4 linked regions of the Macaca mulatta genome follow. The protein of the gene in region 4 purifies or fractionates together with the protein of the main gene of each other region. This does not show direct contact. Links are inferred from orthologs where the notes say so. Each region holds a gene or a part of one and is shown on either strand. Other genes may lie near its edges. The genes, in order: FKBP5, HSP90AB1, CDC37 and TSSK6.

Region 1 (5,089 bases), on a different chromosome or scaffold from region 4:
AAAATTAGCTGGTGATGTGTACCTGTAATCCCAGCTACTCAGGAGGCTGAGGCAGAACTGCTTGAACCCACGAGGCGGAGGTTGCAGTGAATCGAGATCGCACCACTGCACTCCATCCTGGCAACAGAGGGAGACTCCGTCTCAAAACCAGTTTAGTCACGGATTTAGCTTTGTGGTCTCCTTGTGCCTCATTTTCCCCACCTGTAAAATAGAAACAATAAGACTTACTTCATGGGATTGCGAGGATTAAGTAAAGCACTTGGAACAGTGCCCAGCACACAGAGCTCAACAAATGTTGACTATAATCCTAATTATCTCCGCAGGTTTCACCTGGACAACATGTGGGGTGTGGGCAGGCAGTGAGAACACAGACGGTAGCCCTCAATGCATCCCAGCCTGAAAAGCACATGAGTCAGCCCTTCCTTCCACTTACCCACTACCTCTCACGCTAGTCGTTGTCTTTTTTTTTTTTTTGATACGAGTCTGGCTCTGTCTCCCAGGTTGCAGTGCAGTGGCGCCATCTCGGCTCACTGCAAACTCGGCCTCCCAGGTTCGAGCAATTCTTGTGCCTCAGCTTGCCGAGTAGCTGGAACTACAGGCGTGCACCACCGCGCCTGGTTAATTTTTGTATTTTTAGTGGATTGGATTTCACCATTTCGGCCAGGCTGGTCCCGAACTCCTGCTCTCAGGTGATCTGCCTGCCTCGGCCTCTCAAAGTGCTGGGATTACAGGCATAAACCACCACACCAGACCTCCCTGGTCTTCTTAAAGTGAATCAATCCGAATTCCTGTAATCCATGTAACTGCTTTGAGTGACTCTGGAACCCTCTTTGAAGCCCCCACAAATACCTAAAAGAGGAGCAGGAGCGCTACAACACATTCCCCTAAACTGTGTTTCTAAGAACCATCCAACTACCTGTGGAACCCTAAGGCCCCTTCCTCATCTCTTTACCAATATCCTGGCAATGGTTGTTTGAGCCTAGTTAATGACAGAAGCTCCAGCCAGATGCTGTTGGGGGTCCTCTACGAAAAGACACCGCCATTCCCGAGGGTGATACTGCAGCGGCCCAGTACTTGTGCGCATAGAAGCTAAGGGGAAATTGCCCTACCCTAAACTCCAGTGAAAAGCCCTTTGCAGTCCGACAGGCTTGCATTCACATCCCAGCAGTGTGGGGTTTGGACAAATTCCATAATCTGAGTCTGTTTCCTCTTCTAGAACGCGAGTCTATGAATTCCTGTCTACTGCCTGGAAGTGCCGCTGTCAGGACTGACTAAGATAATGTGTGTACTTTCGGTGCACAGGGGACGCTCAACACGTGCGAGCTTCCCTTGCAGAAAACCAAGAGATGAAAGGCTGGGGGCCGCCCCTGCCTTGACGTGCATCCCATACTCTCCGAGATCATCTCTCCCCAGCTAGCGCTTACTCCTGCCCAGGAACCAGATCCTGGGGCCTCCGGGTAGCTCCGGCTAAGGCGCGGGAAGCAGAGGGGGCCAGCGCCCCCAGAGGAGGAGGTTGGGGGGGAAGGAGGCCGCGCCTTTCCCCGCCCCGGGCCTCCCCCCGTCTTGCTCTCCCTCCCCGGACTACCTCCTCCCCCCGCGCGCATCCGGCGACGGGCACAGGATGTTCTTTCGCTCCCGTCCCCGCTCCGCCCCCGCTCTCACTTTCTCTTCGCTCCCCTCCCCCACTCGCGCCGCGCCCGGCGCCGGCACCTAATTTAACTCTTTCTCTCCCGCGCTCGTTGGCGCCTGTGCGCCTCCTGGGCGGGGGTCCCATCCTTCCCGCCCGCCCCCCAGGACGTGGAGCGAGGGGGCTGACCGGGAAGGGGCGGGCCTGAGCTGAGCGCTGGGCCCAGGTTCTCAGGATCCTTTAGCCCGCAGCTGGTGGAGAGGGCTCACCGGGATCCGGCACTCTAGAACCCCCGCTAGTTCACCCGGGTAAGGGTGGGGGTGGAGATGGGTACCCACACTCGAGACAGCTGCGCGCCCAAGAAAGGCGGCCAGGCGGGCTTAGATGCTGGCCCGGCGGGGGGCGAGTAGGGTCAAGGGCCACCAACCTCATCCTCCCCCCAGGTTCGGATGCGGAGGGGCCCAGGGCACCAGCAGAGGATGGAGAGAGGCCACGCCCCTCGGCGACGTCACTGATGTCAAGGCAACCGGGGGCGGGACGGTGGGCTACTGAAGGGCAGACCTCAGGGAATTGAGGCTGCCGGTGGCTCTGGGACGGGGTGGGGGTGGGGGTGGGGGCGCAGCAGGGGCGGGCTTTTCAATTTGCTTCAGTCAATGATGTCCAAAAAACGGAGTGAGGGTCAGCTTCTGTTCGCTCTTTGATTCAACAGGCATTTATTGAGCGTTATGCTTGGGGCTGTGCTTAGGCACTGGGATATTGCGTGCCATCCGAACCCTGCCAGTTGTTGTGAACTACGGTAGGGTGGCTCTGCGTCCCTGGAACGGACGTAATTATTAACAGTGCCCCTTTTCAAGTTTAAAGTGTCCCAGTATGGGCAGTAGTTAAGGAACACCTTTCTCCCAATTCAGAAAAGGCTCCAACCATACGGGGAAGGAATATAAACTATTGGGTACAACAGGCACTTTCCTGGTGCTTTGTATTCTCTGTAATTTTTGCCCCTCATTCTGCAAAACGAGTGTCACTAGCGGCTTTTACAGACGAAGAAACTGGCTCAGAGAGGTTAAGAGACTTACCCAGGGCCAAACAGCTAAGTGTTGGAACCAGGATCCAGACCCAAGTTTTATGTGCCCTCCAAAGTATTTCGTGCCTGCTTCTCAAAATAAGTAGATGATGTCAAATAAATAAAAGACACTGTCCCTGCCATTAAAAAGCCTACAGCCTATGGGAGAAGAGGTTTAAAATACTGCAGGACATAACTAAGCAATAAAACATAAAAAAGATTAGGTGGGGCACGGTAGCTCACTCCTGTAATCCCAGCACTTTGGGAGGCTGAGGCGGGTGGATCACCTGAGGTCAGGAGTTTGAGACCAGCCTGACCAATATGGTGAAACCCCGTCTCTACTAAAAATGCAAATATTAGCTGGGCGTGGTGGTGTTCAACTGAAGTCCCAGCTACTCGGGAGGCTCAGATAGGAGAATTGCTTGAACTGGGGAGGCAGAGGTTGCAATGAGCCGAGATCGCCCCACTGCACTCCACCCTGGGCGACAGAGCAAGACTCAATCTCAAAAAAAGAAAAAAAAAGGAAAAGATTAAAGGCAGCTCACAGGCTCAGAGGGAAGCCACTAGTTATGCCACTCTCCTTTCCACATTCTGCCCTCCTCTGTGGTTTTGTCTCTTACTGAACAGGGACTCCTAGCAGGCATCTGCCCTCATTCTGCTCTGCACCCAAGGTTTTGCAGTTGGTATTTGCCACAACCTTCCTGATATTAACTTGGATGTCGGCCTCTCCCTTCCCCACCAGCTCCCCACCTCCAGCCACCTAAGATTTTGGGGAAATGAAAAACAGTGGCCCTTCAAAACAAAAGGGCCCCAGTGAGCATTGGGAAGCCAATAGGCTTGATGGGACTGGGGAGACCAAGGCAGGAGAGAGAATTGGAACGGTGGAAAGGGAACACCACCAAATGGATGGGTCACTTGAGGAACATTTGCTGCCCTCCTGCTGTGCAGGAGGCACTGCACTCAACCCTGTGGCCTGGACATGCCATGAGTGAATTCAGGTCCCATCTCACAGAGAATACACAGCTTAGCTAGTGTACTCACTGTGCTTGGTTGAGGAGTCTGAAGTTGATAACATACACAATAAATGATGTTTGAGAAAGATTATTCCAGCAGGGTGTGTAGGAGGAAGGAAAAAGAAAGGACAGTGTAGCAGCTGCTGTGAGAATTTGGGCCAAAGGTGGAATCTATGGGGCTGGAGGGGAAAGGGTGAAGGAGAAAAGTAATGAACAAACAATATATTTTGAAATAAAAGCAACAAAGGGAAGAATTTGATAAGATATCAGACATAAGGATGATGAAGGAGAGAAAGTAGTTAAACATTAATCTACCTTTGCAGTGAGTTTCAGGACTGGGAGGGTCATGGTGGGCAATGGGGAGGAGCTGGTGTGAGGGACATGAATATGAGTTCAGTCACTTCTAGGCCATGTAAGGGCAGGTGTCCCGTAGGTGACTGGACTTGGAGATAGGGAAGTCCAGAAGAGCAGTGGGCTGCTGTCTGAGAGTGTCCCTGTCATAGCCTCGAGCAATCACTGACCTGGGATCACGGACAGATTTCAAGCATCAGGAAGAAGGTGGGAGTAGATGGCAGTGAAGGTGCCTCCCAACTGGGAGATGCAGTGTGCATTGGCTGGGTGAGAGCCTGTGTGGGAAGTGTGATGTATGTATGGGAAGGGGGTCCACGGCTCAGGCCTGTGTTGGCATCTTTAGCCACAGAGGGTGCCAGAGATGCCATCAGATGGCAGGAGGCCCAGGTAAGGCACTTCAGCAGCCTGAGGTCCCTCCCCTAGGCCCACCCTCAAAGGCCCTGGAGCCCAGGCCTATGCTGCCTGCCAGGGCCTTTCCCGGAACCACTCCTCCCCGCCTGCCCTGGCACTCTCCAGGCACAAAGCATCCCTCAGGGCACTGCGCAGCACCCCAGGAAGCTGGGACGTGGGGCAGGTCCCCATCCCCAGGAAGAGCCCTGCTCTGGGCTGCTGTCATCATCACAATGGCCCCACAAGATGCCAGGACACAGCATAGGGACAGCATAAGTCCCCAGTGGGGACCCCAAATGGGACCCCATTTCCCCTGCATAGAGGTGGAAGGAGGAGGTTTGTGGCTAGGTGGCAGGATTCCTGGGTCTTTATTGTGGTTTGGGGGTGGGGGCAGAAAAGCAGGGTCTCAGGCTTCAAAACACCACACCACCTGCCTGTTCCTCCCTCCGAGGAGGAAATCTTCAGGGGCCTTGTGGTTTTGAGGGGAGGGGGCAGGAAGAGACTCTGAACTCTGGGTCAGCTGAGGACAGAGATAGGGGAGATCCTCTTGCCCTATGTCCCACTTTTCTTCTAGGATCCTCTTCCTCGGCTCCCTACTCCGCCACTACCCCAGAACAAACTCCTACCTCTGTTTGCAACTAAGAGTTA
Region 2 (4,842 bases), on a different chromosome or scaffold from region 4:
CACCATCATCATGACCCTCCGCCAGGCCTTTGCCATCCTTCTTTCCTGCCTTCTCTATGGCCACACTGTCACTGTGGTGGGAGGGCTGGGAGTGGCTGTGGTCTTTGCTGCCCTCCTACTCAGAGTCTACGCGCGGGGCCGTCTAAAGCAACGGGGAAAGAAGGCTGTGCCTGTTGAGTCTCCTGTGCAGAAGGTTTGAGGGTGGAGAGGGCCTGAGGGGTGAAGTGAAATAGTCTTCTCACCATTTTCTCCTACTGTAACCCGAGGGAGCTGGCTCAAAGGGCAAAATGCAGGTGTTTTCTCAGTATCATAGACTCTGCAGCAGGGGGTGGGGAGCCCAGGAGGCAGCCTTCCCTTTTGCCTTAAGTCACCCATCTTCCAGCAGGCAGTTTATTCTGAGCCCCAGGGTAGAGATAGTCCTCAGTGAGGGGGAGTTTGGGGTCAAGAGGGCATAGGTAGGTTCCACAGTTCCCCCTCCCAGAAGTTTCCTTAAGTCTTGCCCTAGCTGTGCTCTGCTGCCTTCCAGACTCCCCTCTGCAAATACCTGCATTTCTTACCCTGGTGAGAAAAGCACAAGCGGTGTAGGCTCCAATGCTGCTTTCCCAGGGGGGTGAAGTGAAGATGGTGCTGTGTTGTGGAAAGGGGATGCAGATCCCTGCCCAGCACCACCACCTCCTATGCTCCTGGATCCCTAGGCTCTACTCCATGAGCCTGTTGTAGGTTTTGGTACTTTAGAAATGTAACTTTTTGCTCTTATAATTTTATTTTATTAAATTAAATTACTGTAATGGGCTTGGTCCTGTGTTTTGGTTGACTGAAAAGGCATTATTATACGGTAGTTTTTCAGAAAAACTGCCTTTGGCTTCAGTGTGTGCACTCTTAAGACTCACTGGTATTCTGTATCTTAGCTACAAAACCAGCTTAACTTGCTGTGCTCATGAAAACAGCAAGAGCTGGGGGGATAGAGAAGCTAGGGAAGAATTAACATCCACTTCACAAGGGAGAGCAAAAGTGTATAAAAACGGCATATTCTTTATTTTGCATACTTTAATTTCAGAACAAAATGAAGAAAATAAAATAAACCACAACACACAACATCCAATCCTGCTGTCAGAGTAGAGAGGGAATGGGGCTTGACACCCTTGGTTTCCTGCCTTCAACACAAGGACAGGAGAGGAAAAACAACACTAGACATCAGCAGGGGGAGCCAGGTGGGACAGGGGCACTTGAGGCTGCAGTGGGAGCCACGGGGACACTATACAAGGGCACAAGTTTTCCAACTATGAACTTCTAATCGACTTCTTCCATGCGAGACGCATCCTCATCGCCCTCAAGAGGGGGAATCTCATCAGGAACTGCAGCACTGGGTTCTTCTGCTGCCACTTCATCTTCATCAATACCTAAAGTAAAATTAAGCCATGTAAGACTTGATTAAATAGCATTAAGTCAAATCCAGACAGGAGCCTAGTTGCACAAACTCCTTGCCACATCAAGTACCAAAGCTGCTTACCTAGACCTAGCTTGATCATGCGGTAGATGCGGTTGGAGTGGGTCTGGGGATCCTCAAGGGAAAAGCCTGAAGAGAGCAGGGCGGTTTCAAACAGCAGCACCACCAGGTCCTTAACTGCCTTATCATTCTTGTCGGCCTCAGCCTTCTGCCGCAGAGTCTCCACAATGGGGTGGTCAGGGTTGATCTCCAGGTGCTTTTTGGCCATCATATAGCCCATGGTGGAGTTGTCCCGAAGTGCCTGGGCTTTCATGATCCGCTCCATATTGGCTGTCCAGCCATAGGTGCTGGTCACAATGCAGCAGGGTGAAGACACAAGCCTATTGGAAATTGTCACCTGTGGACAATCACAAAAGCCTTAGATTTGCATTAGATCAGTGACCACTTTGAAAGAGAAAACGGACACTGTCAAGCCTGTAATTCCAGCAGGGGGAGGAGGAGGAGGTGGGGCCGATCACTTGAGTTTGAGACCAACCTGGCAAAACCCTCTCTCTACAAAATATACAAAAAATTAACCGGGTGTGGTGGCACATGTCTGTAATCCCAGCCACTCAGGAGACTTGAATTTGCAGTGAGCTGAGATCCAGTCAAAAAAAGAAGAAAATAATATTTTATCTACTCTCACAAGTTAACTGAAGCAATGCCTTATCTGTGCCAAATTTTATTAAAATAGCCTTAAACCTGGCTAGGGGAGAGAACAAGAGCCAAGAAGGCTCCAAACAGTAAATAGGGTGCCTCAAGCCACTAATTGTGTAGAAACATGATTGTGAGGGAGCCCACCTCAAAGGTATGTTACAAAATATATCCTAGCTCCAGAATGGCTTACCTTCTCAACCTTCTTATCTAAGATTTCTTTCATGAGCTTGCAAAGGTTCTCAAACTTTGCCTTGCTCTCTTCCATCTTCTTCTTCTCCTCCTCATCCTCAGGCAGCTCCAGACCCTCCTTGGTAACTGAGACCAGGCTCTTCCCATCAAACTCCTTGAGCTGCTGCACACAGTACTCGTCAATGGGCTCGGTCATATATACCACCTCGAAGCCCCGTTTCCGCACTCGCTCCACAAAAGCTGAGTTGGCCACCTGCTCTTTGCTCTCACCTGTAGGGTAATTAAATGGACTCAGTGACTAAAATGCCTCATACTGCCAGTTCCTAGGTAGCCCTGAAATGTGCTCCCCACTCCTCCAAAAAGGCTTCCATCAGAACCAACGCACCAGTGATGTAATAGATGGACTTCTGTGTCTCCTTCATGCGAGAAACATACTCTGACAGAGATGTCATCTCATCTCCAGACTGGGAGGTGTGATAGCGCAGCAGCTCAGACAGGCGGCGGCGGTTAGTGGAGTCCTCGTGGATTCCAAGCTTGAAGAGTGGGAAGAGAAAAAACAATCCAACTTAACTACAATTCACTTTCTATGTGAATAGAAAAATTTGTTAGTAATTACTAAGAAAGTGGTAAAGGGAATAAGCATTTGCCTCTTTACCTTGAGATTTTTAGAGAATGCCTCATAGAATTTCTTGTAATTCTCCTTGTCTTCTGCCAGCTCAGAGAAGAGCTCAAGACACTTCTTAACAATGTTTTTACGAATGACTTTCAAGATTTTGCTCTGCTGGAGCATTTCTCGGGAGATGTTCAGGGGCAGATCCTCAGAGTCAACCACACCACGAATAAAATCTGCCATCAACCAGGATAAGAAAGCTCAGTAAAAATAGCTAGACCAGAGCTGGTACCCAGATTCAAACAGAAGGCTCTAATAGCCTCCTGAACCCTTATACTTACTATGCATTGCAGAAAATCCTTAACCTAGGATATTCTGGCAGAATGCCGAAAACCTCCCAAGACTTCACCCAACTAAATTAGGCCAAGGAGATACTCACTGAGATACTCTGGTATTAACTCATCACAGCTGTCCATGATGAACACACGACGGACATAGAGTTTGATGTTGTTCTTTTTCTTCTTGTTCTCAAAAAGGTCAAAGGGAGCCCGACGAGGAATGAATAGCAATGCCCTGAATTCCAACTGACCTTCTACAGAAAAGTGCTGGAAAAAAACAAAAAATAAGTGATACATTTCAAAAGAGGGCCTTTTAGCCCCAACACCAAATTACCTAAAAATGGAATAATGATCCTCCCCATAAGCCTAACGGATAGAGCGCACACACAGGCAGTTCCCGAGAAAACTGAGCCTTAATGCCCTCAACGATCTAGACGAATACTAGCTGTATATAGAAAACAGTCCGCTCTGATCAGAACTCTGGATGTGTAAGGCTGCCAATAGACATTACCCAGATTTCCTTTAGAGAAAGTGAGGTCATTAGGAAGGATGGCACTTCACTATGACCGGGTAATCAGTAAGTGAAAATACATGGCTCTCATATTTCTGTTATCAGCTGGACACGTTCCATGTGTCTATTACCTGCCAACACTCTTCCACTTATTCCTCTCCATATTTGCATGTTGACCCAACATGCAAAGGCTTCTCACCTTGACTGCCAAGTGGTCTTCCCAGTCATTGGTGAGGCTCTTATAGAATTCTCCATACTCCTCTTGGGTGATGTCATCAGGGTTTCTGGTCCAAATAGGCTTGGTCTTGTTTAGCTCTTCCTGATCAATGTATTTCTCTTTGATCTTCTTAGTTTTCTTCTTCTTATCCTTACCACTGTCATCCTCCTCATCTGAACCCACATCTTCGATCTTGGGCTTTTCTTCATCATCTTTATCTTCCTCTTCTTTCTCACCTTTCTCTTCCTCTGCCTCATCATCACTAATTTCCTTCTCTCGCTCCTTCTCCAACTAAGTAAGAAAAACAGAAATTAGCCTTGGAGTACAAAACACCAGGAAAAGAAGCAGCCAGGGACCACGAGATTCTCCAGAACAGGAAACATCCTGCAGGCTAAGTGTAAAAGGTTTAAAAGTCCATACTCACATAAAGGGTGATGGGATAGCCTATGAACTGAGAGTGCTTCTTCACTACTTCTTTGACCCGCCTCTCTTCCAAGTATTCTGTCTGATCTTCTTTAAGATGGAGGATCACTTTGGTACCTCTGCCAATGGGCTCACCTAGAAGAGTCAATCATAAGCGTGTAACAGGACGAAAGTATATGCAGTTGAGACTTCACCAAATTAATAAAGTATTAGCGGAACTGCTATGAAGAACTGCTTGACAGGATGCTCAAAATTTCTGCTACTGGTGAGCCCACAAAACTCTAACCCAGCTACCTTGTAACAGAAAAGCTAACTTACCATGGTCAGCCCGCACAGTGAAGGAACCTCCAGCAGAAGACTCCCAAGCATACTGTTCATCATCGTTGTGCTTTGTGATCACAACCACTTTCT
Region 3 (4,377 bases), about 9.0 Mb from region 4:
GTTAGACCTTCTTTATAAAAACATAATTTTTAGAAAAAAAATCAGTGAGATGTCATGGTGTCAGCCTATAATCCCAGGTACTTGGGGAGGCTGAGGTGGGAGGATCACTTGAGCCTGGGAGGTGGAGGCTGCAGCCTGGGTGAGAGAGGAAGACCCTGTCTGTCAAAAAAAAAAAAACAGATGGCCAGGTGCAGTGACTCACGCCTGTAATCCCAGCACTCTGGGAGGCTGAGGCGGGCGGATCACGAGGTCAGGAGATTGAGACCATCCTGGCTAACACAGTGAAACCCCGTCTCTACTAAAAAATACAAAAAATTAGCCGGGCATGGTGGTGGGTGCCTGTAGTCCCAGCTACTCGGGAGGCTGAGGCAGGAGAATGGTGCGAACCCGGGAGGCGGAGTTTGCAGTGAGCAGAAATAGCACCACTGCACTCCAGCCTGGGTGACAGAGTGAGACTCTGTCTCAAAAAAAAAAAAACAAAAACAAAAAACAGACAAAATCCAATTAACAGCCAGCATTTACCAGCCCCTGCCGTGTGCTCAGCTCCTTTCCCCACACGTTTTGTGAGCTGATATTGAGAGAAAATATGGTTTGCATAAGGAAACTGAGGCTGGACTCAGTCACAGTAACAGTGACTATCAGTCACAAGGGACATACGCTCAAAGCTCAGCATTTATCTGCTGGATGCTGGGACACAGTAGGTGCTCAATAAATGTGGGTGTGTGCCAAGGTAACACGACCCCCCTTAGTCCTTGGAGAAGCCTTGGAGGGGCACTTTCACCAACTGGCTTCAGAGACTTGGGACACAGGGCTGGGGGAGACACATGGCCCGCTGGAAAGGCATGGGACGTGGGGGTTACTCACGGTGGGGTCCATCTTGCTGATGGCGTCTTGCAGCATCTGCACGTCCTTTACATCGAAGCACTTCTGGAGTTCCTGGGGGTATAGAAGGGCTGGGGTCAGGGGCTGGGTCCCTGTGCCCTGGGGGGTCCCGCTCAGGGTCCTCCTGCCGCCCGCCTGGGCTGGGGAGCCGCACCTCAGGGAGGGACTCGTAGACCTCGACAGGGTCCAGGCCGCCGGGGCCAAGCCGCTTCTTGCGCTCCTCCTCCTCATACTCCTTCATGGCCTTCTCAATGCGCAGCTTGGCACGGCCCCGCACACGCTCCTTGAAGGCTTCTAGCTCGTCGTTGAAGCCCTCCATGTACTGGCGATCGGCTGTCTATGGGGGTCGGGCAGTGCTCACTAGACTTGGCCCAGTGCTCAGGAGGGACTGGGGGCCCAGGACCCTCCAGCCACAGCTCCTCAGAGGTGCCCCAGGGCTCCCTAAGTCTGTTCCTGACTTACATAAAGGGCTTCCCAAGGCCTGGGCTCCCCTGCCAGGGACCTCATCTGGCATTTGCTAAAGACCACCTCCTTGGGAGCCCTGCTCTACTGCAGATCCGAGACACTCGTGTCCTCAGTGTCCCTGCATGGGCACCTCTAACTCAACACGGCCACCTCCCAGCCTGCCTTGTCCTTGGTCTCCCCAGTCTTGGTAAGGGTAGCCCTGTTCCTCCAGGTGCGCAAGTTAAAAACCCGAGAGGCTGGCAGGCGCCTGTAATGCCAGCTACTTGGGAGGCTGAGGCATGAGAATTGCTTGAACCCAGGAGGCAGGGGTTGTAGTGAGCTGAGATCACGCCATTGCACTCCAGCCTTGGTGATAGCAAGACTGGGTCTCAAAAACAAAAAAAAGCCCAGAGCCCTAGAGGCACCCTCACCTCTGTCCTTTACCCACATATCCACATGGGGACCTCCAGCACATCCTAGTGCTCCCATTTTTTTTTGTAATGCAGTTTTGCTCTGTCACCCAGGCTGGAGTGCAGTGGAACACCACAGCTCACAAATTCCTGAGCTCAAGTGGTCCTCCTGCTTCAGCCTCCCAAAGACTTGGACTATAGGACTCAGTCACCAAGCCTGGCCTGACCTCCACTTTTAAAGTCTGGCAGCATCCGCCCACTTCTCTCCCCCTCCTTGGCCCCGCCCTCTCCTGATCTAGGATTCGGTGATTGGAGGGGCTTGAGTCCCAGTGGACAGGAGTCGGCCTTACCCAGAGCGCTGTGGGCTGGTTCCCTGGGGAGGGGGCCTCCAGCCACCTGGCAGCTCAGGGGACCCTACCTTAATCTTAGTGAAGAACTGCCGGAAGCAGGCCCGGGGGTCCACCTTCAGGCTCTTGGCCAGCTCCAGGATAAACTGCATGACGATTGTCTGGTGAGCCACCTGCTCCATGAGTGCACATTTCTGCCAGGGAGAACAGGCACAGTGTTACCAAGTGGCGGCCTCAGGGCAGCACCTTTTCACAGCCCTGGGGAAAGCTCCACTCACCTCCTCCACCTCTAGGTCAATGCACCAGATGACCAGGTAATTGGCCGTCTCCTCGCACACCAGGTGGACATTGTCTGACAGGTACTTTTGGCTGTCATCCCAGCGGCGGAGCATGCCTGTGGGAAGATGCTGGCAAGGTGCTGGAGGGCCCTGGAGGCAAAGGGCCTGCCCCGACCTTGCCCCCCATAACCTCACACGCCCCACTCACCAAAGTGCTTGATCTGTTTCTCGTACTTTTCCACGAAAGTCTTGTGTTTCTGCTCCCTCACCTCCTCTGAGTCCTCCTCTGTCTTCTCGGGCTTGGTGTTGACCATGCTCTGTGGTAGGGTGAGAGGGGGAGTGGGCTGGGGCAAGGCTGCGGAGCGCCTCGAGTGCGGCCGGGCGGGCCGTGGCCGCAGCGCCCATCCCATCCACGGCGGAGGTGGTGACGAAGCCATGAGCATCAAGGTGGCGGGAGCGTGGGCATGGGCCTTGGGGCAGATCAGAGGAGGGGACCGGTGGGGTGTTTCATCCGCCCGGCCCTCCAAGCCTGTCCCCCCTCCCACGTGGCCCCCGTCCGTCCCTCAGCTCTCTGCCCCACACCACACTCTTCAACTACACCGCCGCGGTCCTCCCCTGACCAGGCATTGGGTGCGCATGCGTCCTGGCTGCATACTCGCCGGCTGCGCAAGTGCACTGCCCACCCCGCCCGCCCCGCACACCTTGCTGAAGCCGTCTTTGCTGAGCGTGTCCACGTTCCAGGGCATGCTCTTCTCCTTCTTGCGCATCTCTTCCAGCTTCTGCTCCCAGCTCCGCTCCTCTTTGCGCAGCTGCTGTGCCTCGGCCTGCAGCCGCTCCAGCTCTGCCTTGCCGCCCTCAGCCACCTCCAGCTCCTTCAGCTTCCTCTGGCATTCGGCCACCTTGCGCTTGCACTCGCGGCAGCCCCTGTCCAGTTCCTCCTTCTCCTTCTGGAACTGCTCCATGCGCTCCACCCGGGCCTGCGGGCAGGGGCGGCCTATCAACTTTGGGGAGCGGCCTGTCCCTTACCCCCAGCCCCATACCCAATCCCCGCACCAGAGATGGCCCCGGGAAAAAGTATGCCTCCACCTCCCGTGCCCTGGTCTCCCAGCTTCCGCCCCTGCCCCCACAGGTGCCGACGCACACCCAAGTGGGGTCCGGTCCCTCCGTCCTCCGCTCAGAACCCTGGCGGCTCCCATCTCACTCAGAGCAGAGTCCAGGTTGTCACCACAGCCTACGTAGGCCCTACACAATCTAACCCGGCACCTCCCCTGCTAACTCTTCCTTCCAGCCACACTGGCCCCTCACTTTTCTCACCTTTTCTTGAGACCATTCTTTTTTCTTTTAGAAAAAAAACAAAAAAACAGGGTCTCACTCTGTCGCCCAGGTCAGAGTGCAGTGGCCCAATGACGACTTACTGAAGCCTCGACCTCCCTGGGCTCAGGCAATCCTCCCACCTCGCCTCCCGAGTAGCTGGGACTACAGGTGTGCACCACCACGCCCAGCTAATTTTTGTATTTGCAGTAAAGATGGGGTTTCGCCATGTTGCCCAGACGGGTCTTGAAGTCCTGGGTTCAAGCGATTCTTCCGCCTTGGCCTCCCAAAGTGCTGGGACCACAGGCAGGAGCCACTCTGCTCGGCAGAGCCTGCTTTTTTCTTGAACTTCAAGGCCTTCACACTGGCTGTTCCAACTACTTGGAATGATTTTCCCTCAGATCCCCCCACAGCTGACTCTATGGCACCCGCGCCATCTGGGCTCCATGTTGCCTTAGCGAGGACCCCTTCCCTAACCACCTTCCTATTGATGGCAACCTCCCGCTGCCCCCGTCTGGAATTCCCTGCCTCAACACCAGCCACCACTCACATCATATGACAATTATTTATCACGTTTTTGGGTACTGCCCCGCCCCGCTCTCTAAATATGGGAATGTGTTTGCCATTTTGTCTCCAGAACCAGGAACTTGGCCTGGCGCAAAGCAGGGGCTCAGCAAATGCTTGTTTTTTTGTTTTTATTTTGTT
Region 4 (4,034 bases):
CGCCGGACTTTTTCTTTTTCTTTTTCTTTAGAGACAGGGTCGGGGGCGCAGTGGCTCAGACCTGTAATCCCAACACTTTGAGAGGCCGAGGCAGGTGGATCAGGAGGTCAGGAGTTCAAGACTAGTCTGGCCAAGATGGTGAAACCTCATCTCTACTAAAAATACAAAAATTAGCCGGGTGTTTGGGCACGTGCCTGTAGTCCCAGCTACTTGGGAGGCTAAGGTAAGAGAATCGCTTGAACCCGGGAGGAGGAGGTTGCAGTGAGCCAAGATCGTGCCACTGTACTCCAGCCTGGGCGACAGAGCGAGACTGTCTCAAAAAACAAAACAAAACAAAAAAACAAGAGATAAGGTATCAGCTGTGATGCCCAGGCTGTTTTCGAATTCCTGAACTCAAGTGATCTGCCTGCCTCGGACTCGCAGTGTTGGGGTCACAGGCGTAAGCCACCATGCCCAGCCCTTGGCTGCGTCTTTTGGCAAGTGACATCCATGTGGGCCTCAGTTTCCTTTTCTATAAACTCCTACTTTACGTGGAGACAGGTGACCCTCGCCCCACCCCTGGCTGTTCCATCCTTAAAAGATGTGGACGGGGAGGCGCTGGGGTCCACTTGCTTCCCCACCCATCATCACAGCACCATCACGACCCACGAACAACAGAGCTCCTTCGAGCTGGCCCATACTGGGGAGCCCAAAAGGTCCAGGTTCGAATCCTCCCGACTCCCTTTTGGGTCTTGGAGCAATAACCTCAACAAGCCTGACTAAAATAGGGTACCCGCGCCCGCCTTCCCCGGACGGAGCGATCCCTTCTCCACTGGTCTGCAAATGGGGCCACCGTTAGAGCCAGGTGCGAGGAACAGCGAGTTTATTGCAGGTTCCAACCGGGAACCCGGCACCCATCGTTGGTTGGGAAGGTACGCCCTCCGCGCAGAGGCTGAGCTTGTTCCGCGCAGGCGCAATGCTTCCTTCCCCTCTGGTCTCGCCTCTTTCGGGGCCTGGTCTGGGAAATCACGGATGCGCATGCGCCTCCACCTCTCGGGATGGCGGAGGACGTGGATTCCGAACAGGGGCAACTGCCGACTTCCCCGTGGGAAGGAAGGGAGGGAAGCGGCAGGGAGAAGGCGCATGCGCAGTAGCACGCGGCAGCTTCGCATGTTCCCGCTAAACTCGCCTCTTGCGCGTGCGCCGCGCTGGCCCAGTGCCCTCGGGGGCAGGAATGGCTGGAACCCCGGGTTCTAGCCAGAGTCCCCGGTGCGCAGCCAGCAGTTGCGCGCTACCTGGCCCGCCGAGGGCCTGGCGGACGGGCTGAACTGCAGCAGCTCGGCGATCAGGGCCTTGCAGCGCTCGGAGAGCTCGAGGCCTTCGGGGTAGAGCACGCCGCGCTTCTGGCGCCGGGGCAGGCCGGCAATGTCCGAGTCGTCGAAGGGCATGCACCCGGTGACCATGACGTAGAGCACGACGCCCATGCTCCACACATCATACTTCTTGGGGTCGTAGGGGATGCCCAGGAGCACCTCGGGTGACGCGTAGGCGGCTGAGCCGCAGTAGGTGGTGCTCAGGTCTGGGTAGCCATGGGCCTGGCGGCCGAACCCGAAGTCGGTGAGCTTGACGCGGCGCTCGTCCGGGCTCAGCAGCACGTTTTCGCACTTGAGGTCGCGGTGCACCAGGTGGTGATCGTGCAGGTAGCGCACGGCGCCGGCGATCTGCGCGAAGAGGTCGCGCGCCTGCACTCCGGGGATGCGCCCGTTGCGCTGCACGGCTTGCAGCAGGTCGGTGGCAGCCGCTTCCATCACGATGTACAGTTTCCCGTTGCACACCTCGATGAACTCGAAGACGTGCACGATGTGCGGGTGTCGCACGCCCCGCAGGATGGACAGCTCTCGCGGCAGGAACTTGTTGACGAAGTCCGGGGGCGCTCGCCGCCGGTCCACCACCTTGATGGCCACGGTACCCTTGTACTTCTTGGATGTGGCCACCTTCACCTTGGAGTAGCTGCCCTCTCCAATTGTGCGGCCCAGCTTATAACCGAGTTCGCTCAGAAGTTTGTCTCCCGACATGGTGGCGCCTGGGGCGCACGGGGAGCAGGAGGCGGCTGCTGTCGGGGGGCGGCCGGACTCCAATCTCGGGTCTAAGCCATGGCGCTTGGCACCTACACCCCCGCACCCCCATGTGCCCACTGCCAGGCATTGGCCGCTGTTGTGCCTTTTATTGCCCCGTAACAATTTTTGCCTTGTGAAGTGACCACGGGCGTCACTCCGCCTTAGGGTGGGGGTCCAGGACCCCGCCCCGGGGCCACCCTAGCCTCCCTGCTTTGTGACTCATAATCACCTTGAATGGTCAGTTTCCGATGAGAGGCCACTAGCAAGGGATACCCACCACCACCAGGGAGCAGCATCCGTTCCGGGGATTGGGGTGAGTCCGAATTCGAGCAGCAGCTGCTCCCCAACATCACGTACCCAGCCCGTGACTACGTGGAGCCCTGGGCTTCCCGTAGAGTCCCTAGACGGAGCGAAAACGGGAAAAGGGGCCTTAACTGGGGCCCCTGGCTCCCTCGGGCGCTCGGAGTTTCTGACTGGCCTGCGCAACACCCCAGAGGCAAGGCGAACGCGAGGGCCTTTAATGCAAGAACCAAGGCAATTCACACCCTGTCTGGGAGAAAGAGGGAATAAAGACTCCTCAGCTACAGCCTGGCAGCGTATTCCGACCCAGGGTCCGCCGCCGGAGCTTTCCTGCGCTGTCGCGTAGTTACACTAGTGTCCGAGGCTTTCCAGGGCTGCGGCGGGCCAACTCGAGTGCTTCCGCCACACTCATCATGGCGGTGGCAGTATGTCACTTCCGCCTGGGACCGGAAGTGTGGAATACTGCTAGCATGGAGATGCCGAAGGTGAAGCAGGACATGCCCCCGCCGGGGGGCTATGGGCCCATCGACTACAAACGAAACTTGCCGCGTCGAGGACTGTCGGGTCAGTATCACTCTGGGCCGGGGTCTCAGAGTGGGTACTCGGGGCTCGGGGGCGGGGTTCCGGGGACACAAGCGGGCCTCAGTTTCCCTGGCGGTGAGACCGGAGGCTGAGCTCGAGAATCCTCCATAGCTTCTGTAATAACGTCAAGTGCTGCAGTTTGTTGAGCGCTTTCCCAGCTCCGCTTCCTTCTCGTAACAGCCCAGGAAATCGGTCCCTCTAATTATTTACATTTTACAGTGGGTTAAACTGAGGCATAGTCTGCGCTCTGGCCCTCAGCCACCCTTGGATTTCTCAGATGGGGAAACTGAGGCCCAAAAGAGGCCACGGCTCCCCAAGGCAAGGCTGAGGCCGCAACCTGGAACTTGGAGGGAATTTACAAGATGTTCTATAAAGTGGTTCCCTGCAGGCAGCCCCCGCCTCCATGGTGTCCCAGGAATCCGTATTCTTAAAGTTTTCAAATTGTTTTCATTTATGTATTTTTTTTTTGAGACGGAGTTTTGGTCTTGTTGCCCAGACCGGAGTGCAATGGCGCCATCTCGGCTCACCGCAACCTCTGCCTCCTGGGTTCAAGCAATTCTCTTGCCTCAGCCTCCCGAGTAGCTGGGATTACAGGCATGTGCCACCACGCCTGGCTAATTTTGTATTTTTAGTAGAGATGGGGTTTCTCCACGTTGGTCAGGGTGGTCTCCAACTCCCAACCTCAGATGATCGGCCCACCTCGGCCTCCCAAAGTGGTAGGATTACAGGCGTGAGCCACCATGCCCGTCGTAAAGTTTTCAAATGTTTTAAGTAACACGTTAAATTTTGTTATGGGGCTCAACACAGAAAAATGAAAAAGACTTGAAAGGCACCCATACTCAGTCCCCAGGGTTAACGGACAAATACAAACTTTTAAACGTAATTTAAGGGTGAATACATACATTCCTTTTTTTTTTTTTTTTTTAAAGACAGGGTATGGTTCTGTTGCCCAGGCTGGAGTGATCTCTTGGCAACCTCTGCCTCCTGGGCTCAAGCCATCTTCCCACCTCAGCCTCCCAAGCAGCTGGGATTATAAGCCTGCGCCCAGCTTTCTGT

The links.
Region 1: the proteins of TSSK6 (region 4) and FKBP5 purify together in Homo sapiens (affinity purification with mass spectrometry; 4 studies listed by BioGRID and IntAct, with this or other methods). This does not show direct contact. The link is inferred for Macaca mulatta from reciprocal best matches to the Homo sapiens genes TSSK6 and FKBP5.
Region 2: the proteins of TSSK6 (region 4) and HSP90AB1 purify together in Homo sapiens (affinity purification with mass spectrometry; 4 studies listed by BioGRID and IntAct, with this or other methods). This does not show direct contact. The link is inferred for Macaca mulatta from reciprocal best matches to the Homo sapiens genes TSSK6 and HSP90AB1.
Region 3: the proteins of TSSK6 (region 4) and CDC37 purify together in Homo sapiens (affinity purification with mass spectrometry; 4 studies listed by BioGRID and IntAct, with this or other methods). This does not show direct contact. The link is inferred for Macaca mulatta from reciprocal best matches to the Homo sapiens genes TSSK6 and CDC37.

What each region holds. Positions count from the first base shown.
Region 1 is NC_133409.1:146,536,118-146,541,206, forward strand, and holds the start of FKBP5 (peptidyl-prolyl cis-trans isomerase FKBP5), read left to right. Parts: upstream 1-1,963; 5' UTR 1,964-2,033; intron 2,034-5,089. UniProt on the Homo sapiens protein: Immunophilin protein with PPIase and co-chaperone activities. Component of unligated steroid receptors heterocomplexes through interaction with heat-shock protein 90 (HSP90).
Region 2 is NC_133409.1:137,862,214-137,867,055, forward strand, and holds the end of HSP90AB1 (heat shock protein HSP 90-beta), read right to left. Parts: coding exon 4,750-4,842; intron 4,567-4,749; coding exon 4,433-4,566; intron 4,300-4,432; coding exon 3,991-4,299; intron 3,548-3,990; coding exon 3,382-3,547; intron 3,179-3,381; coding exon 2,988-3,178; intron 2,866-2,987; coding exon 2,718-2,865; intron 2,603-2,717; coding exon 2,334-2,602; intron 1,845-2,333; coding exon 1,511-1,844; intron 1,401-1,510; coding exon 1,291-1,400; 3' UTR 1,013-1,290; downstream 1-1,012. Other genes in the region: SLC35B2 (adenosine 3'-phospho 5'-phosphosulfate transporter 1), read left to right, coding at 1-199. UniProt on the Homo sapiens protein: Molecular chaperone that promotes the maturation, structural maintenance and proper regulation of specific target proteins involved for instance in cell cycle control and signal transduction. Undergoes a functional cycle linked to its ATPase activity.
Region 3 is NC_133424.1:11,121,928-11,126,304, forward strand, and holds part of CDC37 (hsp90 co-chaperone Cdc37), read right to left. Parts: exon of another isoform or gene 4,357-4,377; intron 3,339-4,356; coding exon 3,063-3,338; intron 2,832-3,062; coding exon 2,570-2,831; intron 2,478-2,569; coding exon 2,362-2,477; intron 2,278-2,361; coding exon 2,155-2,277; intron 1,220-2,154; coding exon 1,037-1,219; intron 937-1,036; coding exon 865-936; intron 1-864. UniProt on the Homo sapiens protein: Co-chaperone that binds to numerous kinases and promotes their interaction with the Hsp90 complex, resulting in stabilization and promotion of their activity. Inhibits HSP90AA1 ATPase activity.
Region 4 is NC_133424.1:20,109,329-20,113,362, forward strand, and holds TSSK6 (testis-specific serine/threonine-protein kinase 6), read right to left. Parts: upstream 2,194-4,034; 5' UTR 2,055-2,193; coding exon 1,233-2,054; 3' UTR 846-1,232; downstream 1-845. UniProt on the Homo sapiens protein: Serine/threonine-protein kinase component of the sperm flagellar doublet microtubules. May act as a regulator of sperm motility by mediating phosphorylation of sperm doublet microtubule proteins.